4 linked regions of the Elephas maximus indicus genome follow. The protein of the gene in region 3 interacts with the protein of the main gene of each other region in a pairwise test. Links are inferred from orthologs where the notes say so. Each region holds a gene or a part of one and is shown on either strand. Other genes may lie near its edges. The genes, in order: PDLIM5, SNRPF, COIL and BYSL.

Region 1 (7,713 bases), on a different chromosome or scaffold from region 3:
CCTTTATGTATATGTATATAGGAAAGAACAAGATTTTATTCCATGTTTAATTCAAAATGATGTTGCTCTTCTCTCCACCTCATGCCTTCATGCATTCAGTTAGCAAAAGTACTTCAATTTCGCTTACTTAAGTTCTAAGTTACTCTAACATAAGAAAGGGACTGCAAATCAATATACTCCCATTCCAAATACTGAGGTCTTTAAAATAAAATTTTTTTTAATGCACAAAACTATTCTCTTCAGTCATTAACTACAATTTGTATTTGCTCCCATAGGAATACGATATTTTCCACACTTGTATACTTTCTCTTTGCATAGTCAATGATAGGGAATACTCTAGCACAGTACTATTTTAGTTAGAATTTACTGCTTTTACTTTATACACACACCTCCTTAAAGTAACCATCTACTACATGATGAATAAGAAACATGATAGGAGTGCAAAGCTAATCTTAATGTAGTCAACTGAATGGAGTTTTAGAAAAGAATAAATGTTTCAGGGTTTTGTTATTTTTTTCTCCCTGTGTTTTGGTGTGCTTACAATGACTCTCATGGTAGTACTTTTATAAAACAAAATAATTACAGCACAAAAAAATATAACTCGAAGATTGGTATTGGTTGTTATGTGGCTTTATGTGGGTGGGGAGCTTGGGAGGAACGGGGATTTATTTTTTTCAGTAGAATACTAAGGAATATAATAGTTCCTTCTTTGAAAAATATTAAAAATATAATAGAATATGCATAATTTTAAAAACTTTTTTTAAAGGCTGTTTAAAATGTTCTTCTGGGATAATCTGAGTTGTTTAACCAAATGATCACTTTATATTAGCTCTCTTAAAGTGTTTCGCATTTGTTTAACCCATTCAAAATTTCTATGCCACCACACCAAATTCATAGTGACAGATGCAGATATTCGAGCCACTGAGTACATTAAAAGCAAACAGATTCCTTCTTCTCATAAAAGGAACATGAGGCGAAACTTTCAAATAAGTCTGATTCTTACAAAAAAATCAGATCAGTGGCAATCTGTACAGCATCTACCTAGGAATTAAATGTGCCTTTCCACTGACACAGTAGTACACTGTATTACTCTGCAATAATGTTACTCCACTACTGAAAAGATGCAGGGCACTAGAAAGACCTAAAGGCTAAGCCAGAAGTCAAACAACTACGATACATGAAAAAGAGGAGTAGGAAGGTACTAAAGAGCCACACAATTAATTTGTTTTCCTGCTGTAATGAAGAGATTTTCATAGATCTAGGAGAGAAAAACTGTTTTGATATCAGCACACAATTTAAATCAGAAGCATGTAAAGCCAACTGGTATTTCACAGGCAGCCAGACGTCTTCTTTAATCCTTAACTTGGGACAGGAAGAATGTAAAAGTTGGGTTCAGCTTCCCCTGGCCCCATTGTTCCTACAAGAACATGTATTTCATTTCTGTATCAACCCTTGTACATGCAAGTTCCCTTTACTTTGGGCTCCCTTCCTGATTTCTCTATTTGCTACTAAAATTTCTAGCACTGGCCGGTCACAGGCACAGTACAGAATCAGTGTTTTCCTTTCTTTAGTTTTCTCCTTCTGCTAGCTTCATTCAGAATTCATTTGCCTTCAAATATTCAGATCCCTAAGCAATGACAATATTATTACTGGCCTTTTCCAAGTCTCCTTGAAAATCATCTGGTTATTAGTGCCCAAACCATTCTGAAAATACCCAACAGGCAAGAAATAGTGAGCAGCTTACTCTGCTTTCAAAAGCATGGAAAATATTGGAATTTTTGTGTTTTCTTTTAGGGAAAATCTAAACAATGTCTTTGCTTTATTATTACGGAAGAAAACTTGGTATTTCCTACACTTCTATCCCAGCTTCTTTGGTAGGTGGGAGGGGGAGGAGTGGAGAACTCGTGATGAGTTGAATAAGAAGAGCCTGAAACTAAAAAAAAAGTAGCTTGAGATTCTTTTTCCCCAGATTAGAGAGATGATGGAGGTAGAGCAGAAGAACCAAAGCCACAGGCACAGGATGAAGGCGCCCGACGAAACAGTTTCCCAGCAGAAGGTTCACGCCTAGCCCTGTTTGCCAAATAAGGCTCCGGAGCAGGCTGTTTCCGTGGCAGGCGGGTTCAGACGTCCTCACGGTCAGGAAGGCGGACCTGGGATCGGATCTGGCGATCACACCCTAGACCTGCCCTGCCCAGCGCAGCTACGAATTTTCTTTCCAAGCTCTGCCCTGTCCACACGCCCTTCCTTTTTCCAGTTATTGTCAATCTTACCAAAGGCACGAAAACCCCTACATGCACGCAAGTATTAATAAATCCAGAGCTCATGACAGTCATTTTTGTTTTAATGATCTTTATTTCTGGACGCACGAAAGCTTTTCCGAAACAGGTTACACAACTGTAAACATCTGGGGAGGAAATACTTGCTTCTCAGTGTACTGAGAGCAAACAAATAAAAACATCACACTTTTCCCGTTGGGTCCCGCTTCCTCCTCAAGCCCCTAGGAGATTAGAGCAAGACGTCGGTGTACAAGAGCGCCAAGGTCGGTTCCTGGCGACGCCGGGCAGCCGGCCCGACGGTGGCGCGGGGGTGTTCCGGAGCCCTTCCGCGCCCGCCCTCCGCTTCTCGGACAGCGGACCGGCGCCTCGCTCCCGCCCCCGGGCTCTGCCACGCTCGCCCCGGCCGGCACGGGCTCAAGGAATTCCCGCGCTCCGCTCCCGGGGCGCTCCTCTCCCCACCTCAGCCGCCTCCTACCTCACCCGCTCCGCGCCGAGAAAACACCTGAGAAACCGCCCCCCGTGCGACGCGCACCCCTCCTTCTTCTCCGCTGGCTTCCCTCCTAGCGCTCTGCGCTCAGCCACCACTTCTATCCCTCCTCCCCGCGGATCGGAGAGCGCGTCCCCGGCAGCAGCCACTCACCTCGGCTCCGGCTCGGCGCTGCCTCTGCCTCAGACAAGCGCTGACAAGTGTCTCGCGGTGCGTGCGCCGTCCCCCTCGCCGGCCTGCGGGAACTTCCGCCTCCTGGATCTCCCCGAACCCGCCTCCGGGCTGGGCCCCGCCCCCTCGGCGCCTGGCCCCGCCCCCGGGCCCGGCAGAGCAGCGCCGGGGCGGAGGAGGCTGCCGGAGACACCGGCTCGCTGGCTTGCTCGGGCGGCTGAAACCTTATCCCAGAACAATCGCTTTACCGAGTTTCGGTGGGAGTAGTCTTAGGGGATTTCGGACAATACTTGTTAAAGGTCTAACCCTTCGCATTTTATTGCGTACTAGGTGCGTTTCTCTCTCCAGAAACCTCAAATTGGCAAGCAGTTGCTCTAGCTAAAAATAGAAGGGGCTTTGGGTAAATCCCTGTCTATGCAAGTTCTGCGGATACTGCCTGTTTGTTTTTTGAGAGCGCTTTATGTACTCTGTACACCCAGGTGGCGTAGTGGTTAAGTGCTACAGCTGCTAACCCAGAGTTTGGCAGTTTGAATCCACTAGGTGCTCCTTGGAAACTCCATGGGGCAGTTCTACTCTGTCTTATAGGGTCGCTATGAATCCGAATGGACTGGAGGGCAGTGGGCTTTTTTGTCTTTGGTTTTATGTGCTATAAGAAGTGCAGAGCATGAAGTATGTTTGCTAGAAAGGTAAAAATCAGTGACCCAATATATCTAGACGTTAAATCCTGTCATCACACCAGAAAGCAGCAAAGAGCAGCGACCAAAAGTGGTTCAACCACTGTATCCTTGGCTTATTTTTTAAAATCCAAATCAGCACCTACCTTCTAATTTCTAGAATGTTGCTTGATTTAACCCAAGGTATTTATTATTAAGCAAATTTAAATAATGTCCAGTGAATACACGGAAAGTAACTTATTGACTTTTTAAAATAGTGAACTGTTTTATAAAACGTGTAAACGACAACCCTTAAACAAGGGGAATATAAACCAAGGATGAACTTCATGGGGACTATGAATCCCTTAGAAATGTAAGCAATTCTAGACGAGAAGGTCAAAAACGGCTCTGTCCAAAACTGTAGCCACTAACCACATGTGGTGCTGAGCGTTTGAAATGTGGTTAGTATGACTGAAGAACTGCATAAGGGAACATTTTATAGCATTTTAATTGAAAAGTGAAGCTGAGTAAAAGATATTTCCAATAAACACACCTTATTGTTTGAATAGAACTACATTTCACTTTAACAGTTGAAAATGCAGTTAGTGCCTGAATTGAGACACCTTGAAGTGTAAAATGCATTCTGGATTTCAAAGGCTTAGTACAAAAGATGTCATATAAAATACCTCATTAATGATTTTATACTGCTTAATATTTAAATCATAGTATTTTATATATTGGGTTAAAATTATTATTAAAGTTAATTTCACTTTTAATGTGGATACAATAAAACTTTAAATTATTCATGTGGCTCACATTAAATTTCCATTGGAGAGCACTGGTCCATAATTTTGTTACATCCACCAAAGGATTATGTTGTGGGGGGAAGGAGTTTCCTAGTATGAGAGCCTGTTTATGCAGTGCTTAAATGTATGTTATCACAGTTGACATCTCATCAAAAATTAGTAAATAAAACTCACTATCATTTACAAATACCTACCATGTGCTAGACAGCGTGGTAGTCATTGCAATAACTTTGTAAAAGAAATGTCATCGCCATTTACAGATAAGAAAATCGAGGCTGAGAGAGATTAGTTTGTAACAGTTGCAGGGGGCCATAGCTAAAGACATCCTATAATGGTCCCATCTCTGTACTTCCTCATCTGTTTCCTGCTGAAATTGAGCATGAGTCAATGAAGGTTTGATTAAAGACATCAAGAATTGCAGAGAATAAGTATCTTGAGGTGATGAGGAAGGGTTGGGAGTGAGAGAAATGTTGCTGACTTACACAAATTCCGTTTTAGGCAGAGTTTTAACCTGCCTCTGGATCCTCCTCCTACTACCTCAGTTTAAAGCCTGGGGTATAGGGTAAAAAAAACATTCACCATCAAGCCGATTCCAACTCACGGTGATGCTATGTGTCACTGTAGAACTGTGCTCCCTAGGGTTTTCAATGGCTGATTTTTTTGAAGTAGATCTCCAGGTCTTTCTTCCAAGGCACTTCTGGGTAGACTCCAACCACCAACCTTTGGTTAGCAACCAAGCACTTTAGTAGTTTGCACCACCCAAGGATTCCTGAGGTATAAGGTAAAATCAACAAAATTAAATACCATAAGAAGTGATATTTATCCAAGTGTCTTCGAATGGACCAACAGCATCAAAATGACACAGGCAAAGATTATTAAAATTGCATTTTCATTGGCCCCACCCAGACTCAGAATTCTTGGAGGGGAGGCAGAGGAATCTACCTTCTTAATAAACATCCTCATTAGGTCATTATTAAACTATAATGTTTAAAAACCACTTCCCTAGAAAAAGCCCTGTATCTTCAATTTACTGGTACTGTGGTTAGGTGAGGAAACCCTGGTGGCGTAGTGGTTAAGTAATACTGCTGTTAACTAAGAGGTCAGCAGTTTGAATCCACCAGGCGCTCCCTGGAAACTCAGTGGGGCAGTTCTACACTGTCCTGTAGGGTCACTGTGAGTTGGAATCAACTTGACGGCAGTGCGTTTGGTGGTTGATTAGGTGAGGTGAGAGCCATGAGTCCCAGATAGCAAAAATTTAACTCAGATTCTTCATCTTAAAGGAAATAATATCTACATGTGAGGTTACCATAAGGAGGAGAATAATATATACAAAACACCACAGTGTGCTTGGCACTAAGTAGGTGTTAAATAAATGGTAGTCACATGAAACATTCAAAGCCAAATGATTAGATCTATTAATGTATATTAAAAGACCAGCAGAGAACTTTAGTATTCTTTATACATGTACTATCTATTTGGTAATTTATGTACATCATCTTATTTAATTCTTACAACCATACTAAATAGGTTTTTTTTCGGAGGCAGAAACAGAAACTTGCAGATTAAGAAATTTAACCAAGGGCACATGACTAATAAGTCTGATTCCATAAACCACGTTCTTTTCACTTCAACACACTGCTTCTTGGTAAATTCAGTAACCCAACCAGCTTAAAGATCAGAGAAAGATGAAAACTATAGCAACTAACGCTGTTGAGGGCCATAGAGGTACAGTCTGAAGCAAATTATTGAAATAAAATAAGCGTAGGATTATTTGTATATGAAAAAAATGAGGGAGGATGAAACTACTGAACCACTTCCCGTAGGGCATGTGCTTTAACTTGTTCTGTGATGAGCTGCCCCTGAGTCCTACTGACTCCGCTTCTCCATCTCCCTCATGACTAATGTTTATGAAATGGTTGGCCATGGTTTGAAGGACAGTCTGTGACTACAGAATAGCCAGAAGATAGCTGATCCACTGGGAAATCAAAACAGTGTCCTTGGCCTTGTTAACTCTACAGCTAACCGATGAGACACTGACCACAAAGAAAACCATATTAAAAGTTTCACTTTATCCTAACCAGTGCACAGAAAAGTTAGAGTATGGAAAAAACAAAAAAAGATCAAGTATTAACTGATTTAGCAGGAAGAGTATTTAAGAATATTCCATCTAAATACAGTATTCACCTCAGTGTATAAATGTTTGCTCTAACATTTTATTATCCAATGTATGACTCAGAATCCTCTTGCAGTACTACAAAAATAACAGCAACTTTTAATTACAAGATAGCATGACTATGACAAGTTTTTGCAGTCGCACCCAATGAACTATAAAGTGCCAGTCTTTAAAAAAAAAATTCCCACATTACTCTAAGTCAATTTATCTTCAAAGTCCTAATCCTGAAAAGTAAATAAAGCACTCATAGGTATGAGTATTTAATTTTTAAAGTCCAGAATGGAGGGGAAACATTAACATTTGGCAATCTAGGATATAATTTAATGCGTTAGCATTGACCTGGGAGAGTTAATGCTGCCAACATGATCTTAAAAACTGAAAACTCATCCGTGTGCTAAGAAACAATTATGTTTTAAGTGTTCAAGATCAACAACAACAAAAACTGTTTACAATTCAACCACAAACTTATGGACCCATTTTCTAGTATTTTATTCTCATGCTTACAAGGCTTTATCAAACTTTATAGTACTTAAAAATACTTTATTTTATGAAAAAGTTTATAATGTTTCAGAAATCTTATAGCTCTTAGTCTTTAAAACCACTCATTCTCATGCCCACTAGCCTATCATATACAGGCAAAATCTAGTTCAATTGAATATCACAAGGAACAAAGTCTGAGTAGTAAACATCTGAAAAACAAGCAGTAAATGGAAGTGTTGTAATAGACTATCTCAAAACAAAAATCTTACAGGAATTCTCAAAGAAGGGGATCAGCATTTCTTGAGCACACACTCTATAAGCCATTTTACATTATGGTATTAGTTCTTAAAGCATACACACATAAATTTTATAGCACGGGTTCTCAGTTTCTGCTGCATATAAGAATCATTGGGTTGCTCCCCAAAGCTATCTAAATAAGAGTCACTGAGTACTACTGCTCTAAATAGGGAGGGTAACCTTACTTCCTTTTGATAGCTTCGGAGCCCTGGTGGCACAGTGGTTAAGAGCTCGGCTGTTAACCAAAAGGTTGGAAACCCTCTGAGGCAGTTCTACTCTGTCCCATAGGGTCACTATGAGTCAGAGTCAACTTGATGGCAATTTCTTTTTTGTTTTTTGATAGTTGTGGAAACTGAGAACAGGGAAGTAA
Region 2 (7,346 bases), on a different chromosome or scaffold from region 3:
TGGCTAAAATATTTATAGAAGCTAATTTAACAGACATGCAGTGAGTCCATCCATCCCTTTGTCTGGCCTGTCTTCCCCGTTAAGAAATGCTTTGATTTTTTAATTACTTTGGTATTGTCCCTTTAGCATTCATTAAAAAACATTTCAGGAGTTTCACTTGAGAAACTTCTTTCAGAGCTAAGTGCTGGGAAAAGTTTTGCTTTCTCCAGCATACTCTTTTGTTTCCCTTATGGCATTATGAATCAAATGTCTGAGCTCTTCTTACTTTAACCACGAGGAATCATCTGTGGCTGAACTCTGGGTTAACCCCAAGTCTTGTACCTTGTATATCAGAGTTACAGCATCTTCCCGGCCTTGACTTTATTCCTGATTTTGCTTTATATTTGTCAGTTTCATTGTATGCATTCTGTAAGCCACATTAAGACCTCTGAGGAACAAGGTGGAATATAATAAATACAATTTTATAACTTTTGTAACTCTAGCTTACCTGCATGTTCATATAGCCATCTACAGATACCAGGTAGCCCTTGTACTCCATTCCCCACTTAAGTTTCACCATCACTGGCTTTCCTGTTAATCCGTTCAGGAAAGGTTTGGGATTGAGGGGTAAACTCTGCACAAGGAATAAATAATAACAATAATAAAGGACTCAATTGATTCTTTTCCCTTAGCTTGGCTTCCACCACGCTTTCTTCTCTACCAAATCATCCACCAATATTTTATGTATCCAAGTGATGCAAACTCTTGATTCCCTTTCACTTTTTAAATTGTGAAAATTAATACATAATTTTGACTATTATTTTTTGAAAAGCACCAGGAAAATTTAAACAACCAATCAGCCAGTTTCATCTTCAACTCATCAAAACTTTTAGAAGTTTGTTATTCACTTAAGAAAGACTGTTTCAGGCTCTAAAGAAACAAAGGTGAAGACACTAAAAAAGAAAAAAAACAGCAGATGATATAGTCTCTGTCCTCAAGTAGCTGGCGGGGGCTGGGGGCGGGCGGGATACATACAGATGGACAGATGTACCAAGTGCAGATACACACTGGAGTACTGAACCAATACGGGGGAAAGGTTGCCTGAAATAAGTAATGCCTCAGTTTTAAAGGAAGAGAGGTGCTTCCGGAGAAGAAAAAGGACTGATGTAAAAGCAGCTAAGGGTGTAGCAACAAGGTAAGCTCAAACCAGCTGCCCTAGTCAATTTTGACTCGTGGTAACTGCATGCCAGGCCTTTCTTCTGAGACGCCTCTGGGTGGGTTCGGATCACCAACCCTTTGGTTAGTTGTTGGGTGCTTAACTGAAACCACCACCCAGGGACTCCTAAGGTGACCTCAGAGATATACAAACAATTCAGTGTTGTCAGAGTACCCAGACATGAGGCTACAGAAGCAAGCAGGGGCCAGAACCTTCACTTTAATTTTAGGGGCTAGGATTAGGTCTTATTTGGCTTTGTATTACCAATGCCCAGCAGCGCCTGCTACATATTGTAGGCAATCACTTAAAACCAAAAAAACCAAACCCGCCGCTGTTGAGTAGATTCCAACTCATAGCAACCCTACACGACAGAGTAGAACTGCTCCATAGGGTTTCCAAGGAGCGGATGATGGATTTGAACTGATGACCTTTTGGTTAGCATCCAAGCTCTTAGCCACTGGGCCACCAGGGTTTCACTTAATGTTTGTTTATTCAGCAAAACAGTAGAATCCCCAGTGAATTCAGACTTTTCTCCTTCCCTCATTTGCTTTCCCATCAGCTCAAAGGAAGGAAAGAACCAAGAAACCTAGCTACCCAATCCTTTTAAGATAAGCATATTCAGAGTGATCTCACAGGACACAGGATCTACTGCAATAACCTCCTAATAGGTGTCCAGTTTTCACTCATCTTTCTCCAGTTTATTAACAATACAGCAAGTATTATTATTTTTTAAGGTATATATCGAATGTCACACCTCTGCTTAAAATGCTTCAATAACTTCGAATTGCACCTGAAGTAAAATCCAAACCTACTAAAATGGCCTAAAAGGTTCAGCTCAATGCCTGCCTCTCTGACCCTATCTCATAACTCCTCTTTCCACAAGAAGCACTGTGGCTTTTGGGTCAACTCCTGGAAAATGTCAAGCTTTCTTCCCGGCCTTAAAGGCTTTGCTCCTGTTCCCTGTGCTTGGTACACTCTTTCTCCTGTTCTTTAAGGGACCGTATTTCATGTCATTTAGATGTACCGTCAAATGCCGTCTATCAGGGCAGCCATCCCTGATCACCTATCTAATGTACGAAGCATCCTGTTTGCTTCCTTCTTAGGATTATTTGTAACTGTATGTTTATTTGTTATTATTTGATCAATGCCTGTCTCCCACATCCCACTATGGGTTCACACAGAGCGCAGGGTCCGCATCAGTACTTTTCACCCACCACCTCTGGCGCCTAGAACAGTAACTGACAGGTGGATGCGCACAATAAAGATTTCCGGAACGAATACACGAATGCTTCAAAGCCTGTGCTTTGGGTTCCAGAGGGCTGCGGGCGGGGGGTCCTAACATCTTTGAATCAAAGTGGATTGTGGAGTGTGATACTCAGGAAGTGAAAATGGAGCGTCCCAAAGTCCCGCTTCATCTTTACCCTGGCCCTGTGGCCTCGGTCAGGTAGGAAACCTCAGGCCTGGGTTCAAACGAAGAAGAGCGGGAAAGAGAGCAGGATGCTGGGGAGGGGAGGGCACCGGGAGGCCCTCAAAGTCCCCAACTCAGGGAGAAAGGGACTGGCGGCGAGATTCACGGATTCTCACATGGATGAATGGGGAACGCGCGAAACAACTACCAGGCCTGTCTAGACCGGTCGCTCTCCCTCTCCGGCGACTCACGCCGTTCTCTCCTTACCATCGTGACTACGGGTGAATGGTGTAGGATCCTCGCCGCCGACCCAGCTGTTGTCCGTCCCTCGTGATCGAAGCAGCCGCTCTAGGCCCGGAGTCGCGGCACTCCAAGAGAAATGGCCGCCAAAAAGCAGCGTGACCTTTCACCTCTAACCCAGCCCGTCTGGCTTCTCTGATTGGGCACAAAGAGACGCGTGCTGATTGGAGGAGGTGGCTGTGCAGTGTCTCCTGGCAACCAGCGGCATGCTTTCCGGGCTTCGAGACCCGTGAGGAGTCTTCGGCCGGACTTCAAAGGCTAAGGGACCCGACTCCATCTTCCTCGATGGGGTGGCAGGAAAAGCCTTGTGTTGACTTCCCGCCTGGGAGATGCTATATATCGTGTAGAACGGACGTGATTTCTCGTCAACTTGGCTAATAGAGGTTTCCTTTGCTCTTTCGGCGCAGTGGTAAAGAGCTCGGCTGTTAACCAAAACGGTCGGCAGTTCCAGTCCACCAGCCGTTCCTTGGAAATCCTATGGGGCAGTTCTGCTCTGCCCTGTAGGGTCACTATGAGTCCGAATCGACTCGACGGCAGCGGGTTTGGTTTTGGGTTTTATAGTTTAAGCCAAGCAGTTCTTGGAGTTATTTATCTCAAAGTTCCGTGAGTTTTCTTTTAGTTTGATGATCATTCAATAAATATTTAGCCTTTACGCAGACTTTGAGTTCCTACTTTGGGCTAGGCTCTTTCACAGTTGTTATCATAGAAATCTTCCCAAACAGTATTTTGATTTGGCAGTTACAGCCCTATTTTAGAGATGAGGAAACAGGCTCAGCAGGTAACTTGCCCACTATTCCATAACTGAGTTTCAACCCCCAAACTCTGCTTTTTGACTTACTTAAAGCATCCTTTCAGTCATTCAATATATACCTTAGAAATCTGACTTTGCTGTTTTCTCTGTGAAGTGAAACAGTATCTTACAGTAATCTGTGTAAAGATGTTTGAAGTTGATTTTTTCTCATGTTAAATATTAAATTTAAATACCTTAAAGTCGTTGGTATTTTTCTAATTATAAATGCTGTACATTTTGTGGGGGTCTTAGAAAATACAGAAAATTCTAAAAAATAAACCAAAAGTCACTGATAATCCCACCAATCAAAAAAAAATTAACTTTTTTAATGTACTATTTATTGTAACGCATGCTGTTTTAAAAAATAATCTACATACCGTTTTGTAACTTGTTTTCTTCACTTTATATTGGGAAAATTCTCATATAATTAAATATGCTTCTGAAGTGTGGTTTAATGTCTCCATTATTCTGTTTTGTGAATATGTGATCATTTATTAATCGTTCTGTTGTTTCCATTTTCCCATTATAAATGATGTGCTTTGGACATAATTTTACATGAATCTTTGAATGTATCTCTGATTGTTTACAGTAAATTCCTAGGAGTATAATTCTTGAGTTAATAGGCATTATTATTTTCAAGGTTTTAAAATATATTTATTGCCATATTTGTATGTGGTTCAACAGAATAGCCACCAGAATAATCAGTTTTAATTTGGGGGTAATGTTGTTGTGTGCCATCAAATTGATTCCAACATATAGCAACCCTATAAGGACAGAGCAGAAGTGCTCTATAGGGTTTCCCAGGCTGTAATTTTTACAAATTGCCAGGTCTTTTCTCTCAAGGAGCAGCTGGTGGGTTCGAACCTTTGAAATTTTGGTTAGCAGCCCAATGCTTGACCATTGCACACCAGGGCTCCTCTTGGGGGAAATTTTTCGAGATGGGAAAGAATATATCTTGAGCACATTCTGAGGGAACTTTCCTCAATTATTAATTAGGATGAAACCTAGCTGTAAATAAGCGTCTAAAAAGTAATTTATTAAATGACCAAGATATATTTATTGAGGGTTTACTACAGGCTCCTAGGTGGTACAAACGGTTAACCACCTCACTGCTGACTGATAGGTTGGAGGTTCAAGTCCACCCAGAGGCTTCTCAGAAGAAAGGCCTGACGTACTTCTGAAAAAGTAGCCACTGAAAACTTCAGGGAACACAGTTCTACTCTGACGTGGGGTCACCGTGAGTAGGAATCCATTCAACAGCAGCAAGTACTGATACTGTGAACTAGGCACTCGGGGGGAATAGTGGGGAATGAAATGGACGTGTGATCTCTGCCCTCCTGGAACTTTAAAACCTTTTTTGAAGAAAGGAACTAATACATACTGAGCGCCTGCCATGTTGTACAAGGGTATTTCATGTAATTTATTTTACTTGAGGAGCCCTGGTGGCACAGTGGTTAAGAGCTTGGCTACTAACCAAAAATCGGCAGTTCAAATTCACCAGCCACTCCCTGGAAACTCTATGGGGCAGGTCTATTCTGTCCTATAGGGTCACTATGAGTCAGAGTCAATTCCACAGCGATGGGATCTTACTTAAATCCTCACAGCACTTCGTGGTAAGTATTAATCTTCCCATTTTAGAAATGAGACACATTCAGAGAGGTTAAGTATTTTTGCTCAAGGCCACATAGACTGAAAGTGGCTCCAAAGCCCAGGATTTCTCCTTTATACTTGCTACCTCTCCCCAAACTGAGTTAGAGTAGAGAACAAGTGAGCAAATACATAGAAATACCAATATGAATGCAGGGTGGAGGAAGATAGAGTTTAGGAAGTTACTTTTGAGATTGATGAGCTCTTCCTTTTATATTCTCTCCTTTATTCCCATAATACTCAATATTTTCTTTGTTTATAATTATGGTCAGAATTAATTATCATGGCCAGGATAGGCTTAAGGGGGGGGAAAAATCTGAGTTAGATCAATGGTTTATAAATGCTAGCCCCTAAACCTGGATCGCTCTGCATACAGTATTGGGACTTTGAAAACTGTCTTCGTTATTTAAAAATAAACGAACAAACCCAAAACTTAAAAAATTGTGCAGTTATCTTAATGAATACTGTATGGACTGACTAAAACCTCATGCTTTCTGCTTTTGATTAGAATGAAATCAGAAGGCAAATACTGGTTGATTATCATGGATCAGAAGCTGTAATTGACATTTATATAAATGGGAAAGTAAATTGTCAATAAATGACACTTATTCATAGATTCATTTTAGAGGGAGGGTAGATAATAAGAGAAGCCTTCAAGGCTGGGAATCACTTAACTAACTAGATGACCACTGGAAACCCTGGTGGCATAGGGGTTAAGTGCTATGGCTGCCAACCAAGAGGTTGGCAGTTTGAATCCTCCAGAAGCTCCTTGGAAACTCTATGGGGCAGTTCTCTGTCCTATAGGGTCACTAAGAGTCGGAATTGATTCAACAGCAGCAGGTTAGGTTTAGGTTTAGATGACTAGTGTTAAATATTAACATTAAACCCTTTTCAGTTCTTAGCCATATGTCCACAAGGTGGCAATGGTGTTTTGAGTAACATCTGATTGACCGCCTGGAACTTTGAAGTGAACCTCTATAAATGGAGACCTCACTGTTCTCAAAAAACAAAACGAATAAAACCTGCATCTCATGGAATTCCCCCCCCCCCCCCCCCAGTTTCCTTTGCCTTCAACCTCCTTCCACCTTTCCTCATGCCTCAAATGTCTCCATTGGACCAAATTTTAGAAATAAAGCTGGTTATTCTACCTCTTCGTCTTTTTACCCTGTTGCCAGAGGTATCTCCAAACACCCGCCTCCTCCAAAACAAAATGGAGATCTGGACATTATTGCTCTTCTGCTCACCAACCTTTCTGGTTACCCATTTCTAGCAGCCTTAACAAATCCTTGCCAGCTTTTCTCTATAGATTCATCTCTTTCCATTCTGTCCCACAAACAAAAGCCTTTCCCAGAACCACAGGCCATGTTCTTACACTTGATAGTCCCTTCACCTAAAAGTACTTTCAGCCTGGAAAATTCCTCCGTATCTTAATGTTCCTGGTCCAGCTCAAATGGGTACTTTATAACTGAAGCTTTCGCTGTCTTCCTCAGGTTATTATCCTGTCACATGGGCCTACACAATCTTATCTTGTTTTAACACTAATTGTACTCTATTTTATGGAGCACTGGTGGCACAGTAGTTAAGGGATAGGCCACTAACCAAAAGGCTGGCAGTTTGAATCCACCAGCCGCTCCTTGGAAACCCTATGAGGTAGTTCTACTCTGTCCTATAGGGCCGCTATGAGTCAGCATCAACTTGACGGCAACAGGTTTGGTACTCTCTTTTAAAAGGTCCCTGGGTGGCACAAACAGTTTGTGCTTGACTGCTAATCAAAAGGTTGGTGGTTCAAACCCACCCAGTTCTACTCTGTAACACACCAGGCCAGCAAGGTTTTTTTTTTTTCTTGTCGTTTGTTTTACTCTATATCAGCGAGAATTTTTTTTTATTAACTCATTTGTTATTATTACTAGTCATTCCCTGCCACAATCGATTTTCAGTAAATTTGTTGAGTGAATAAATGAATGACTGAATTGATAGACTTAGACTATAAAAATTTGCACCAATTC
Region 3 (7,804 bases):
ACTGAAGACACTTCTAGAGAAGGGAGTGTGGGAGAAGTGTGTGAGAAGAGAAATGGAGGACTTTTTATCTCAAACTATTTTGGAGTATAATTTTTTTTTTAACGACAAGCTTTTTTTTGTTTTTGTTTTTAATAAAAGGATGGGAAGGGACTACAAATGTTTCAGAAATTAAAGCAGCAAGGTCTAATTTTATTGGTCTCCACTGACTGCTCATAGGCATTAGACAAACATACTCCTCCACATGAGAGAGAGGGCAGGGTCTAAAATTTTATAGCCCAGAAACCATTAGCACGCTGTGAAACAATACTTAGTCTCAAGAAGCCTAGAGCCAGACAACTTTAATGGCAATTATTTTCTCTGGCACTCAACGTTTCAGGGCACCAAACTGTCCTCAGCCTGGTTCAGCTACTCTATACTCTTACCTCCCACTGCCAGTCCTCACAGACATTTCACTGGAGCTTGGCTGCATCTCCAAGGGGCCAATAGTTAACGACAAATGAAAAAAGAACCCATCTCTAATATTAAATCTGGTACCAAATGCCACAGGGGGTCAAAAGAGGGAGGGAAGAAAGGATGCACTTTGCTTCCTTACAGAATGATTCTTCAACAGGGCGATCCCCCTAAGCAAAGGAGGGCACTTCCTCCTTCCAGGAGACCTGGAGACCAAGAGCTCAATGTCAGCAGCTTGGGAGCTGATGAAGTCAAAATACAGGGGCTTAAGGGAATGGGCTGTGAGGAAATGGTGCCAGCACACAAGTGCCAGATGTCTCTCAAGCCTCTAGGCTCAAAATGCTGCAGCAAATCCAGTTTCTCAGGCTAAAAATGTGGGATTCCCATAACCTGGCTCCACTTTTCCTAGTGTAATTTTTCTCTGTAGTCCCAACAGAATCCTTCTGCAAGTCAGACTTGTCTCTTTACCAAATCAGGCAAGCTCTTGCCTCCACAATTGTGCTGTGGCCAACCAACATTTCCTACCCATCCTTCAAGGTACTGTGGAATTCCCTGGCCATTTTTGTTACATGCTGATCTCTCCTTTCTGAGTCATCCTCTGCACTTAGCAGTATATTACAGTCTAACTAATTGGTCTAATTGCCTGCATCACACAAGAAGATAATATACAGAAGCATGAAACTAGTTATTTTGGTCTACTCCAAGAATATTAGATAGTTTTGAGAACAGTGACTATGCTTTCTGTTATAGCTCTGAAGTGCGTTTGCGAGAGGAAGGCAGAAAATGATTGGGGGCATGAAATAACAAAAGCAAACAACATTTTTCCAAATTCATTTTTTTTCCCTGAGGTCTGCCTTGTTAAGCACCAAAGGCAGCTACAGAGGTATTTACTGCCATATGCAATTGTGCATTTGAAGCACTTTGGAGGAATTTCACCTACCACTGTATTGTATTTATTATTTACAACATCTTTCATGGTTTCTTTTTGACACTGTTAATTTAATTATAAAGAGGATGATTCCCAGATGATTCATTAACTGAGATATAAATGTAGTTAGCTAGAGGCAAGTTATTAAGTCCTCAGGCAGCTGGCAGAAGGGGACACAATCCTTACAATAAAAATAGTCCCTGAATTGCAGGGAGAATGGAGATCTATTTCACAGTCAATAAAAAAGAAAAGAAACCCTTTTAGAAATGTACACTGCTTCAAATTATCGTTAGAAACAGCTGAATGCTATTAATACATCATATTGTTCCTAATTTAAGAGAAAGACACACACACTCAAAGACATAGTAATTATTCCAAATTAAATTCTCTGATGTTCTGAAGAAATCTCATGAAACTGACATGCTGTGGGGGTAGAGGGGGGAAGGAATATTTAACAACAACCCAGAGCAAGCAAGAGGAGTAGGCTGGTCCACATCTCTGGAATCAACTCAGTGTAGCTGAAGCTATATAGATATATACACACACATATAGATATTTATATTAAAAAGGCTTTCAATAAATGAGTCTAAGATATGAATCTCAACTGTAATGATCATGTCTCACCATTTTATTGACAGAAATCAACCATATATGATGAATTCACAGTACAATTACTCCTCGATGCTCACTTCGGTATCATTTTACAAAATTTCCAAAAGCACATTTAAAACTATTCTGTGTTTTCTCAATTCACAAATCTAAAGGATACAAACACCTACTTGAGTGAATCCCAAAACACTCGGGTACGACACAGAATGACATCTACTAGAAGTCTCAGGGAATACGGCAGGTGAACTAAGGTTGGACAACTTGGACATTACGAAAACAGAACTGTTCCTCTTTGTTTACCTGGGTCTCCTGCCCCAGACCCTGAGATCCGCCAAGGGGAAGGCCAGGTCTCAGGTACATCTGCATCAGGTGTACCGCGCTTGGTTAAGTGTCGGAGGGCTTGTTAAACCAAGGTTGAAAGAAACACGGGCCTTGCCGTACACTAAATCAGCGCTTTTCCAAGTTTGGTTCTCCAATCACCCACATCAGGAGCATCCCGAGGAGGGATGGCGTTAAAATGCAGATTCCTGAGCACCAGACACGACTAGGCCAATTAGAATCTCCGGGGTTCACGAATCTGCATTTTCAACAGCGACGCTTCCACAGGCTCCCAGCCCCACCCCCTACCTCCCAGCCACGCCGGGGTCTCCAGCGACCCGAGCGCCCGCAGGCCCCAGGTCCTCACGCCCCCGAGCGTGCGCAGGCGCGCCCCCGGCGGCCCCCCAACCCACCGCACACCTGAGGCAATCGTTGTCTCGCACCAGGCGCGCGCTCTCGCCGGGGGGCAGGAGCCCCCCCTCCAGGTAGAGGCCTAGGAAGGCCCCAGAGCTGAAGCCAAAGCGCTGGCGGACAAGACTAATGAGATCTGTGACAACTCGGCATCTGCTCAAGTCGACGAGAAGCCAGAAGACAGTGCAGTCCGGGGTGGCTGGCGGCGGGTAATCAAATTGAAGCCGTAGTCTAACCGTCTCGGAAGCTGCCATCTTACTCGGCGCTCAACGGAAGCCGGGAGATACCACAGGGCTACGGAGCGGCGTGCTCGGGCGACCAGCTGCCTGGAGCCTTTAACGAGTGCCACCTGTTGGTGGCACGTGGCTACTACAGGCCTCCTGAATTGCAAGAACGTGGAGCTTGGTTGGTTCGATTCAATTTCATTCACGACAGGGCCAAGCCAGAGTATAAATAAAATGCCTTTAATCCTCTCCTACCGATTTTAGGCGTATGTCGAGGACGACTTTAGACAAATATCTGGAAAAACAAGCACTTCTTCTAAGCAGTGGTCTTCTAACATACTCGCTCGTATACGTAAAAGAATTCTAAAAAACCAAAACCAAACCCCTTGCCATTGAATCGATTCCGACTCATAGCAGCCCTATAGGACAGAATAGACTGCCCCATAGGGTTTCCAAGGAGCATTTAGTTGACAAAATTTTTCATCATAAAGAGTTGCAAAGATGTAATTCCTAGCATATTGTGAATATGGGGCATAAATAAAACCGTTAACCATTCTTTTAAATGTATCCAAACCCGTTGCCCTTGAGTCAATTCCGACTCATAGTGACCTTATAGGACAGAGTAGAACTGCCCCATAGGGTTTCCAAGGAGTGGCTGGTGGACTTGTTTGGCAGCTGTAGCTCTTACCCATTGCGCCACCAGTGCTCCTCTAAAGGTATCCAAAACCAAAACCAAACCCATTGTGGTTGAGTTGATTCTGACTCATAGTGACCCTATAGGACAGAGTACAACTGCACCCATAGGGTTTGTAAGGAGCAGCTAATGAATTCCAACTACTGACCTTTTGGTTAGCAGCTGAGCACTTAACCACTCAGCAACCGGAACTCTTGGTAGTCAGTAGATACATGGAAATTTTTTTAAAAAAAGGAAGTTTTATTTTCCTGTAATCTAATGCTCTTAACCATTGTGGCACCAGGGCTATCTCTATATATACATACAGCCCTGGTGGCACTGTGGTTAACAGCATATATACATACATACAAATATATGATAAATACGTAATGTCAGTGTCCACCGTTACAATATCATTCAAAATAGCTTCATTCCCTTAAAAATGTCCTGTAAGGAATAGATAAGTGGTAACTTTGGTAAGGGGTAAGACAGTACACAATACTGGAGAAGCCAGCACAACCTGACCAAGGCAAGGTCACTGAAGCTCCATAGAGATGTCCATACTCCCTGAGGGACCAAATTACTGGGCTGAGGACTGGAGACCATGGTCTCAGGGAACATCCAGCTCAATTGGCGTAACAGTTTATAAAGAAAATGTTCTACATCCTACTTTGGTTGAGTAGCACCTGGGGTCTTAAAAACTTGTGAGCAGCCATCTAAGATACTCCACTGGTCTCACCTGGTCTGGAGTAAGGGAGAATGAAGAAAACCAAAGACACAAGGAAAAGATTAGCCCAAAGGACTAATGGACCACAACTACCACAGCCTCCACCAGAGACTGAATCCAGCACACCTAGGTGATGCCTGGCTACCACCACTGACTGCTCTGACAGGAATCACAATAGAGGGTCCTCAACAGAGCCAGAGAAAAATGGAGAACAAAATTCTAACTCACCAAAAAGAAAAGACCAGACTTACTGGCCTGACAGAAACTGGAGAAACCCCAAGAGTATGGCCCCCAGACATCCTTTTAACTCAATACTGAACCACTCCTAAGGTTTACCCTTCAGCCAAAGATTAGACAGGCCCATAAAAGAAAACAAGACGAAATGGGCACACCAGCCCAGGGGTAAAGACAAGAAGGCAGGAGGGGACAGGAAAAGCTGGTAATGGAGAACCCAAGTTCGAAAAGTGGAGAGTGTTGACATGTCATGAGGTTGGCAACCAGTGTCACAAAATAATATGTGTATTGTTTAATGAGAAACTAAATTGCTTGTAAACCTTCATCTAAAGCACACACACACAAACACACACACAAAATGTCCTATAAGGAGCACTAATGGTGCAAAGGTTAAGCACTCCTAACCGAAAGGTTGGGGGTTTGAATCCCCCAGCAGTTCTTTGGAAGAAAGACTTGGCGACCTGCTCCCGTAAAGATTAGAGCCTAGAAAACCCTGTGGCATCTCACAACTAACAATTTAGGAGTGTAGTGGTATCTCATTGTTTTAATTTGCAATCCCCTAATGACATTCGTCGTTGACCATCACACATACGTTTGAGACAGCATTTAGAGGTAATCCGACCCTCATACAGCCTGGGCTGTATTTTGTTTCCTAGCTCATTGAGGTGAGTTATTCAGAAGCCCTAAAAAATAAAAATGACCCAAGAGACAGAAAGGGCTACATAAACCAGCGACTACATCAGCCTGAGACCAGAAGAACTAGATGGTGCCTGGCTACAACTGATGACTCCCCTGACAGGGAACACAACAGAGAACCCCTGCGGGAGCAGAAGAGCAGTGGGATGCAGACCCCAAATTCTCATAAAAAGACCAGACTTAATGGTCTGACTGAGACTAAAAGGACCCTAGTGGTCATGGTCCCCAGATCGTCCGTCAGCCCAAGACGGGAACCATTCCCAAAGCCAACTTTTCAGACAGGGATTTGACTGGACAATGGGACAGGAAATGATGCTGTTGAAAAATGAGCTTCTTGGACCAAGTAGACACATGAGACTATGTGGGCAGCTCCTGTCTGGAGGGGAGATGGGAGGGCGAGGGGGTCAGAAGTTGGCCGAATGGACACGAAAAGAGAGTGGAAGGAAGGAGTGTGCTGTCTCATCAGGGGTATAGCAACTAGGAGTATATAAAAATAGCAAGGTGTATATAAATTTTTGTATGAGAGACTGACTTGATTTGTATACTTTCGCTTTTAGCACAATAAAAATTAAAAAAAATAATAAAAATGGCCTTCAGACACACACACAAATCTCTGCCATCCACTTTTCCTCCCTTTCTCCTCCCAAGCCTTTCTTCTCTCTTTAAAATGCCTGTTATGAAGACAAAGTAACACAAAATAATGTCAACGATAAGCTTTTAAGATTTTTTAAAGAGTATTTTTATTATCGTGTTTAAAAAAACGAAGTAAAAAGACTAGAAAAAAATTCCAAATGTCAACAATGATTGTGTAATCTAAAATTTTTTTGAATTTCTAAAACATCCATAATATACGGGATTTACAAAGAAAGGGAATTTAAAAAGCAAATCTCTGAAAATGGAAGCGCAGTTTCCAACCATCAGCTGGGTCAGGCTTTTGGGGAAGATGCCTCAGTTTCTGAAATTTCAGGCCTTTTGTTGGGGAAGAAAGAGGCGGGCGGGGCAGAAAGGACCGTGCTTGCAATTCTTCCTCAGGAGCCTCGCAGCCCAGTGGCACGAACCAAACCTGCACCCTCAAATCCTACTCAAATGTACTACACTAAACGCCTCGGCGATCGAGCTCTCCCTCGTGGTCCTTTTCCCAAAACCCCACAGAACGAGGTAGACTAACACGAACAGCCTGAGGACCATGGAGAGGATTCTGGTTGACCTCCCGGCAGAGGGCTCGCGAGACATGGCGAGCCGCTCCGCCAGGCCCCGCCCCTGGCCCGCCCAGACTCCTTCTCCGAGCCTCCAAGCTCCGCCTCGGACCTTCCTGGCTCCGCCTCGGATCCGCGCAGGCTCCGGCCCCGCCCGCCGCCCTCACGTGATCGGGCGCCGGGTCCAGCCTGTTGCTGATGCTGCTGTACGGCGGTCATCATGGAGCTGGCTCTGTGTTCCTGCTCCGTCCCGCGACTGCTGTTGCTGCTGCTCAGCATTAGCGCAGGTAGGTTCGGGCAAAGGTCGCGAAATCCGCATCAGCGACTCGTGCTTCTTTCTCTTTCCAGGGGTGAGGAGAGTTTGTTAGTGGGCTTGTACTTTTGACAGGTCTCTTTTTCCCTGTTCTTATATTGATTTTGAACTCACCCACCCCGTTTTTTGTTGTTGTTTTTTTATTGTAAATGCTTCCTCTACCCTGTCCTGGGTTCTGGCTTCCCCGCCTTCCTCCCTGTCCTAGTAGAAGCCGTTGTGCAATAATGTATTATTTGTGGAAACTGCCGATCGATGAGCCTTCCACGATCTTGAGGTTTCCACCTCCTTTTTCTGTGACTACTAAATGAGGTTATAATGCCTTTTTTTTTTTTAGCTAAAACATGTGGTCAAAAAGACTCTTAAAGCCGTACCATGAATGAGACCTTTAATGAGATAAGAGTTTTCCCCTCTGTTCAGAACGGACAAGGTAACATCTCCCCGCACATGGAAATTTTTTGACAAAAATCTAGTCGTTTTTAAAATGATGATTTGCAAACTGCTTTTGACTCTTTTCACTCTTAATGGCTCACCAAAATGTCTGCTGGTCTGGATCAAGAACTGAGGATTTGAACTGGCCACACACTTATCATGTGACCTTAGACAGTTGCTTAATAGTTTTTGTTTTCCCTTTTGTAAAATGGGGGTCATTTGGCCCTTCAGCTTTTTGTCTGGGAAATGTTGTAAAATATGTTGTCTGAAAAATTTTAACAGTGGTCGCAAAATTTTAACAGTGGTCCCTGCCAGGGAAGGGAGGAGTGCAGGGGTGGGGTCCAAAGTGATCGGATCCATATCTGTCATTTTCAGGGAGACTGTAATCTTGCCTTACCTGTATGAGTAAGGGTAAAAGTTATCTACCGTGTGTGTGTGTGTGTGTGTGTGTGTGTGTGAGAGAGAGAGAGAGAGAGACAGACAGACAGACAGAGAGAGAGAGAGAAAGAAGTGCCCAAGGAGACATCTTCTAGCCACATCTGTAATGTTTTAGCCATATGTAGAATGTTTTGCTCTTCTGGCCACTTTCTGGTTTT
Region 4 (7,667 bases), on a different chromosome or scaffold from region 3:
CCTTCTATATAGCCGTTCTTAGATGACGCATGGGCACTTCAAACATCACATGTCATCAATGAACTCATTCTCTTTCCCTCCTGAGTCTGCACCACTCACTCTTTTCCACATTTCAGCAAACGGCACCACCATTCACCCAATGCCATACCACAGCCTGGGAGGCAGTCCCGCCTCATCCTGCACCCTCACCCCCAACACCCAGACAATTACCAGGTCCTATTCCACTTTGTAGAATATCTCTCAAATCCCTCACAGCCCTATCTAAACCTCGACCAGCATCATCTCTTGCCTGGGTTAATTCAAGAATCTTCTAAATGATCTCCATACTTTCAACCTTACTTCCCTCCAACTCATTCTCCACTCTGCAGCCACAATAACCTTCTAGAAATACACATTTGATTGGTCCTGCACTCAACATACTCTTCAGTAGTTTCCCATTCCCTTTAGGATAGTTTTAAATCCCAGGCATGGCCTCTAGGTCTTTTGGAGACTTGGCTCCTACCTACCTCGCCATCATTCATTAATCCATTCATTCAGCAAACCCTGAGTGCTTACTGTATGTAAGGCACAGTTCAGGGTGCTAGGAATAGATCGCTGAACAAGAGTAACACAATTTTTTGTCCTTGTACAGCTTACATTCTAATTGGAGGAGACAGGCAAGGAACAAACATAACAAGTAAAACATACTGGGTTAAAAGATGACAAGGGCTATGAAAATAAAGTTAAGAGTATAGTATACAAGTTGGAGTACAGTGGAGCAGAGGAGAGAAGGGATGGGGTGTTGCAATTTTAATTAGAGTGGTCAGGGTAGGCCTCTCTGAAAAGGTGAGTAACTGAGGAGGTGAGCCTACAGGCGTATGGGGACAGAACAGCCCAGGCAGAGAGAATAACCAGGGCAAAGGCCCTGAACTGCCATGTTTAAGCAACAATGAAGCCTATATAGGTATGATGAAGTGGACAAGGCAAAGGGGAAAATAGTATAAGAAGCCAGAACGGTAATGGGGGTGAGGGGGCTGAACAGATAGGGCTTTGAAGGCTATTGCAATCCTCTAGCTGTTGAGTTGAGAACGGACTGTGGGGGAGGGGTAAGAAATACTAATGAGGAGGCTCCTACAATAATTCAATTGCGAGATCTTGGCGGCTTGGAACAGAGTGGTACGGTGGTGTTCCAAGGTGGTAAGAAGTGGTCTGATCTAAATACATTTTGAAGGTAGAGTCAAACATGATTTCTCGACAGACTGGGTGTGGAGACAGAGAAGGGTCCAAGGTTTCTGTCTTGAACAATGGGAAGTTATCGTGCTACAAACTGAGATGAGGAAAACAGTGGGAGGCGCAGGTTTGGGGAGGAAGGTCAGGATTTCAGTTTTAACATGTTAAATTTGAGATGTTTATTAGATCTCCTGTAGCCCTGGTAGCACAGTGGTCAAGAACTAGGCTGATAACCAAAAAGTCGGAGTTCGAATCCATCAGCTGCTCCTTGGAAACGCTATGGGGCAGTTCTGCTCTGTCTTACAGGGTCGCTGTGAGTCGGAATCTACTCCACAGCAACAGGTTTATCAGGCCTCCAGTTGGAGATGCCAAGTAGGATATAATATTGAATCTGGGTTCCACTGAAGAGATCTGGGCTGGAATGTAAGATTGGGAGTAGTCAGCAAACAGATGGTGTTCAAACCATGAAGCTTGATGACATCACCAGAGAAGTATGTGGGTTTAACAGAAGTCCAAGGACTGAGCCCTTCAATAATTAGAGGTTGGGAATAACAGAGGAGCCAGCAAAAAAGACTGAGAGGTGAAGTAGCAGTAAAACAGAAGTGTGATGTCTTAGGCATAGCTAACCCTCAGTCATTTTACCAGTCTCAGCTAATAGGTTAATTTGGAAAGCCCTTCCTGACACCCAAGACTATGCTATTCCTTACTGGAGAAACTGTAGTTTCTTTATTATGGAATGTATTATTCTAGTTGTCTATTTAATTGTCTCTTTTCTAGACTGTTGGGTCCTGAAGTGAGACAGTGTCTACCTTGTTCATTTCTGAATCCAAACTCCTAGCACAGTGCCAGGCACGTAGTAAGCACCCCATACATATTTATGGAACAAAAAGATCATTGCTTAGGAGAACCTGGTCTAACTTTGGGGATGCCGGGGAGTAAGAGCTTAAAACTAGGAGTGGGCGTGGTGGGGCTCTGACTACTCTAAATTCGCTCCACGACTCGGCTCCTACTCCAATACCTTTGTAAGAGTGTAATATGGACTCCCTTCTTTAATTCCCAGTTATTCCTTTGCAAGTCACCTCTAAGTCGTCCATCCTCAACAAAGCTGTGTTCGTCGCACACTCTGCCCCCCACCCCCGCTCGCCCACCCGCCCGCCACCGCTCACCCAGCCGCGTGGTGCGCTCCCTCGGCGCCTTGGGCCTGTCTCCAGTCCCATGTTCAGTCTCCAGCTCCTCCTGCTGCTGCCGCGCTTGTTGCAAAATCCGTCGGGTCAGCCGGGGGCCCACATATTCTTCCTCTTCTTCTCTGGTCCTGCGGCCCCTCCGTTTTTCCCGGGCCCCCGCCCGCACTGCGTCCGCAGTCAGGATCTGCTCCGCCAGGGGCGCGTGTTTTTCCCGATCCCCAGCCCCGCGTGCCGCCTTAAATTTTGGCATTTTCCTCAAAAAAGTTACCGGGAAGATTTACACGTGGGTACCGAGGAGAGAAGCCCAGCGCGCTTGCGCAGTGAACTCTCAGTTCCCAAGAGGCAGCGCAAAGAACAGCGCGACCCCCAGCGTTCGGAGGCCAGAAGTGCCATCAGCTTCTCCCCCCCTCCTAAGAGAGCTCGTGAGCCTTGGAGCTAGATACTCGAATACCTTCATTGCTGGTTCCTCTATGGGGTGGCAGTCCGAGCCATGCTTTCGTAGCTTCATGGACCCAGGCCCTGGATGCCCAGCCAAATCTCAGTTTCCGAAGCTGCAAACCTAGGGGCGGGAACTGAGCGGATGACGTTGCTGGAGGCGTCACCCAGGGGTTGCCCAGGCAGGTCTCTTTCCTCGTGGCGCGTCGACTAGGCGCACTGTTTTTACGTAACTTCCGGGGCGTTTCCCTCGCTCGAAGCTTTCCTTAGTGGGTTTCACTTCATCGAGAGTGCTGAGTTTCAACTGTTTGAAGCTGCAACCCTCTTGGCCGGACACCATGGGAGTGACTTGGTAAGACTGCAGGACCGCTCGGGATTTTGTGGGGCGAGACTGGGGGTCGTGAAGGACCTTCGGAGCCTCGAACAGACCTGGGAGGAACTACCAGGGTCCGCCGTCCCCCAGGGAGCTTAGCAAGATGTCTCCGTGTTGTGGGAATGAGAGGCACACTGTGAGGGCTGCGGGTTCTCCGGGCCTGTTTCCTCGAAAATGAGCCCCTGGAAGGCGGCAGGTAAAAGGTTTTATCCCAGAAACCCATTAATGTTTGTATCTCCCTTTTTTCTTTCTGCCTGTGAGGCCATATTACTGCTAGTAATAGGACTTCAGCTTCGGAAGTAGCATCTCCGGCCTGGCACCTATCAGCAGGCAACGCTGGAGGGAGTGGAGGGTAGGCAAGGAGAAGACAGTGTTTCTTTTAGGTTTTTGCCTGATCCTCCCTACAGCCACAAAGTGCAGTGAGACCAGTTTGTGTTTAGTTTCATTTTCGCCGTTTTAATACCTCGGGTCAAGAGTAAAAACAAAGCCACTGAGAATTAGAAGATGGGCTTCTAGTTGCTTTACCTCTTCAGGACGTGTTTCCTACTATGTTGGCTTCCATGGTTGGTGTAGTTTCTATCGGCCTTTTATTTCTAACATGTTGTAAGTCTCAGTTGGAAGAGGGAAAGGTGGGCCTAATGCTCTCAGAGGCATTATTTCCAAAAGGCTTAGTTTCAGGACGTTTTAATGTCATTCCATTCAAAGACATTAAAACATTTTTCCAGTCAGAGGGGCTGGAGCCCAGAATATCTGAAGTCAGTGGCTGTAGGCTTCTCATATAAAAGTGTGTAGGAGCATTTTTTTCTCCTGGTAGCCCAGGCTCTTGAAAGCTTGCAAGTGATTATGCCCATGTTTCCCACAGTTGATATATGATTCTCTTCTGAGTCCTGTAGTGTAAGAGGGATGGGAATGAAAAGTTTGCAACATGGAGGCTTGGGACCCTGGAAACCCCTGACACTTTGTCTGTTGGGACCCTTACCTTTTTTTTTTTTTTTTAAGAATCCTAGGACTTTTGTTTCTCATAGCTTTGGTTCAGGCATTTTCTTTCTTTTTTTTTTTTTAAATAATTTTTATTGTGCTTTAAGTGAAAGTTTACAAATCAAGTCAGTCTCTCACACAAAAACCCATATACACCTTGCTACACACTCCCAATTACTCTCCCCCTAATGAGACAGCCCACTCTCTCCCTCCACTCTCTCTTTCCATGTCCATTTCGCCAGCTTCTAACCCCCTCCACCCTCTCATCTTCCCTCCGGGCAGGAGATGCCAACATAGTCTCAGGTGTCCACCTGATCCCAGAAACTCACTCCTCACCATTTTCCAACCCATTGTCCAGTCCAATCCATGTCTGAAGAGTTGGCTTCGGGAATGGTTTCTATCCTGGGCCAACAGAAGGTCTGGGGGCCATGACCTCTGGGGTCCTTCTAGTCTCAGTCAGACCATTAAGTCTGGCCTTATGAGAATTGGGGGTCTGCATCCCACTGCTCTCCTGCTCCCTCAGGGTTTCTCTGTTGTGTTCCTGTCAGGGCAGTCATGGGTTGTAGCCGGGCACCATCTAGTTCTTCTGGACTCAGGATGATGTAGTGTCTGGTTCATGTGGCCCTTTCTGTCTCTTGGGCTCGTAATCACCTTGTGCCCTTGGTGTTCTTCATTCTCCTTTGATCCAGGTAGGTTGAGACTCATTGATGCATCTGGGATGGCCACTTGCTAACGTTTAAGACCCCAGACGCCACTCTTCAAAGTGCGATGCAGAATATTTTCTTAATAGATTTTATTATGCCAGTTGACTTAGATGTCCCCTGAAACCATGGTCCCCAAACCCATGCCCCTGCTACACTGGTCTTTGAAGCATTCAGTTTATTCAGGGAACTTCTTTGCTTTTGGTTTAGTCCCGTTGTGCTGACGTCCCCTGTATTGTGTGTTGTCTTTCCTTTCACCTAACGTAGTTCTTATCTACCATCTAATTAATGAATACTCCTCTCCCACCCTCCCTTCCTCCCCCCTCATAACCACAAAAGAATGTTTTCTTCTCAGTTTAAACTATTTCTCAAGTTCTTATAATAGTGACCTTATACAATATTTGTCCTTTTGCAGCTGACTAATTTCACTCAGCATAATGCCTTCCAGGTTCCTCCATGTTATGAAATATTTCACAGATTCCTCACTGTTCTTTATCGATGCATAGTATTCCATTGTGCGAATATACCATGATTTATTTATCCATTCGTCTGTTGATGGGTACCTTGGTTGCTTCCATCTTTTTCCTATTGTAAACAGTGCTGCAGTAAACATGGGCCTGTATATATCTGTTCGTGTAAAGACTCTTATTTCTCTAGGATATATTCCAAGGAGTGGGATTGCTGGGTCGTATGGTAGTTCTACTTCTAGCTTTTTAAGGAAGCGCCAAATCGATTTCCAAAGTGGTTGTACCATTTGACATCCCCACCAGCAGTGTGTAAGCATTCCAGTCTCTCCACAGCCTCTCCAACATTTATTATTTTGTGTTTTTTGGATTAATACCAGCCTTGTTGGAGTGAGGTGAAATCTCATTGTAGTTTTGGTTTGCTTTTCTGTAATGGCTATTGATCGTGAACATTTCCTCATGTATCTGTTAGCTACCAGAATGTCTTCTTTAGTGAAGTGTCTTGATTGTCTTTTTGGTTTTTGCCATAGCTAAGTACCACCTGTAGTGTTTATTAATGTTTTCTTTTAAATCTGTTTTTTTTCTTAAACTTAGTTTAACCATCAACTTACATTCTTAGAGAGGTAGATTACTATTGTGGTTAAGAGCATAGATGTGGGAGCCAGGTTGCCTGGTTTGAATCTTGGCTACACCACATGTTAGATATGTGACCTTCGGCAAGTTACAGCAGCCAACAACAATTTCCTCATTTATAACAAAGAGAAAAGTAATAGTGCCTCATATACAGCTGTTCAAGGATTTGAAGAGTTAATCCATCTAAAGACCTTAGGATACTGCCTGGCAGATAGTAAGTAGATGGTTGGTAATTGTCACCTATCATCCTAAAGAGGAAGCAGTTTCACTCACCATAGAAGGACACCTTGGAAATAACATTTTTTTTTGTTGCATTGTATTAAATTCTCATAGATATTGTTGCCTCTCATCTCCAAAGATGATAAACTTGAGGTTGCTTTCTCTTTGTTCCTTGGGCTGTTGACCTTTCTGCAGTGATGGAAATGTTCTATATCAGTAGTGCCCATTGTATCAGCAGTGTCTAATACACTAGCCCCCAGCTACATGTGGCTATTGAGCCCTTGCGATGTGTGTAGTTCTTTAACTGAGGGAGTGAATTTTAAATTTTGTCTTATTAATTGAAATTTAAATATGCCATATGTAGCTAGTGGCTACTGTACTTATAGCCCAAGTTCAGAGTGTTAGAGAATTGGTAAAAGTGTACGAAGTCCAAACATACTTTATCCTTGACGTAGTCAGAACTGAAAGAAATGCACAGGGAATCTCTTTCTCATGACAGGAGTCAGTGTTACGGAATGCTCAGTCTGTGTGCCACCTAAAGTCTTCTCTTGAATGGTGGCACACGTACTACACTTGGGAAATGCTAGAGTGATAAGAAGTTCGCTGCACTGGTGTAAGAGTTCTGAGGCCTGTGCTTTGGTTTCTAGAGAAACTTTCAGGGATGAGGGGGTCAGGGTGAGTGGTCTCTCAGGTAACTCCTGGGCCTGATGAGCTATGATTTTGTGAGTGAGTGGCTCAGTGAGGCCTGTGTGTCTCTGGATACTGATGATTTTGGTTCTCTCTCTTCCAGCGTGTCCCAGATGCCTGTGGCCGAGGGCAAGAGTGTCCAGCAGACTGTGGAGCTCCTTACCCGAAAATTGGAGATGCTTGGGGCAGAGAAGCAAGGAACATTTTGTGTGGACTGTGAGACCTACCACACGGCTGCCTCTACCCTTGGCAGCCAAGGTCAGTGAGACGGGTCTGTAGGATGGTTGGAACCAGACTTGGAGCTGCTGGACGTTTGTGTTCTTTGAAGTCTGTCTGCTCTTCTGCTAAGAGTGGTATTCCTGAACAAGAACTTAATTCTTGGTCCTTCATGTCTTAGACTGGGGCTATTTTTGGCTGTTTTTCGTTTCAACTGTTTTAAAGCAGTGTTTCTCAAAGGGTAGGTTTGGTGACCAAGTGCATCAGAATCCCCTGGGTTACTTGTTAAAGGTGCAGATTCCTGGCCCCACTTACTGATTGACTGACTGGTGTTGCAAGTCTCGTAATCTACATTTTAAGAAGCATCCCAGAGGATCCCTATGTACTCTAAAGTTTAAGGAAGACTCCTTTCAGGCTCAGGAATCTCATGTATGATTTTTTAAGTACTTTCTAACACCTAGCCAGTGGCCTTGGCTACCTCTTCAGCATAACCTTGACCAACTTTTGTTTTAAATGCATTGCCTGATGAGATGGGGGTGTGAATGGTAGGGAGGGAAAGAATATCTTT

Evidence for each region.
Region 1: the proteins of COIL (region 3) and PDLIM5 interact in binary tests that used the Homo sapiens proteins (3 or more experiments, as listed by UniProt). The two-hybrid records come from large-scale screens. The link is inferred for Elephas maximus indicus from reciprocal best matches to the Homo sapiens genes COIL and PDLIM5.
Region 2: the proteins of COIL (region 3) and SNRPF interact in binary tests that used the Homo sapiens proteins (3 or more experiments, as listed by UniProt). The two-hybrid records come from large-scale screens. The link is inferred for Elephas maximus indicus from reciprocal best matches to the Homo sapiens genes COIL and SNRPF.
Region 4: the proteins of COIL (region 3) and BYSL interact in binary tests that used the Homo sapiens proteins (3 or more experiments, as listed by UniProt). The link is inferred for Elephas maximus indicus from reciprocal best matches to the Homo sapiens genes COIL and BYSL.

What each region holds. Positions count from the first base shown.
Region 1 is NC_064823.1:60,104,019-60,111,731, forward strand, and holds the start of PDLIM5 (PDZ and LIM domain protein 5), read right to left. Parts: upstream 3,014-7,713; 5' UTR 2,917-3,013; intron 1-2,916. UniProt on the Homo sapiens protein: May play an important role in the heart development by scaffolding PKC to the Z-disk region. May play a role in the regulation of cardiomyocyte expansion. Isoforms lacking the LIM domains may negatively modulate the scaffolding activity of isoform 1.
Region 2 is NC_064822.1:161,191,130-161,198,475, reverse strand, and holds the start of SNRPF (small nuclear ribonucleoprotein F), read right to left. Parts: upstream 3,004-7,346; 5' UTR 2,874-3,003; coding exon 2,871-2,873; intron 614-2,870; coding exon 488-613; intron 1-487. UniProt on the Homo sapiens protein: Plays a role in pre-mRNA splicing as a core component of the spliceosomal U1, U2, U4 and U5 small nuclear ribonucleoproteins (snRNPs), the building blocks of the spliceosome.
Region 3 is NC_064837.1:37,099,030-37,106,833, reverse strand, and holds the start of COIL (coilin), read right to left. Parts: upstream 3,001-7,804; 5' UTR 2,971-3,000; coding exon 2,726-2,970; intron 1-2,725. Other genes in the region: SCPEP1 (retinoid-inducible serine carboxypeptidase), read left to right, coding at 6,687-6,753. UniProt on the Homo sapiens protein: Component of nuclear coiled bodies, also known as Cajal bodies or CBs, which are involved in the modification and assembly of nucleoplasmic snRNPs.
Region 4 is NC_064819.1:106,347,291-106,354,957, reverse strand, and holds the start of BYSL (bystin), read right to left. Parts: upstream 3,009-7,667; 5' UTR 2,644-3,008; coding exon 2,376-2,643; intron 1-2,375. Other genes in the region: MED20 (mediator of RNA polymerase II transcription subunit 20), read left to right, coding at 3,167-3,180, 6,987-7,141. UniProt on the Homo sapiens protein: Required for processing of 20S pre-rRNA precursor and biogenesis of 40S ribosomal subunits. May be required for trophinin-dependent regulation of cell adhesion during implantation of human embryos.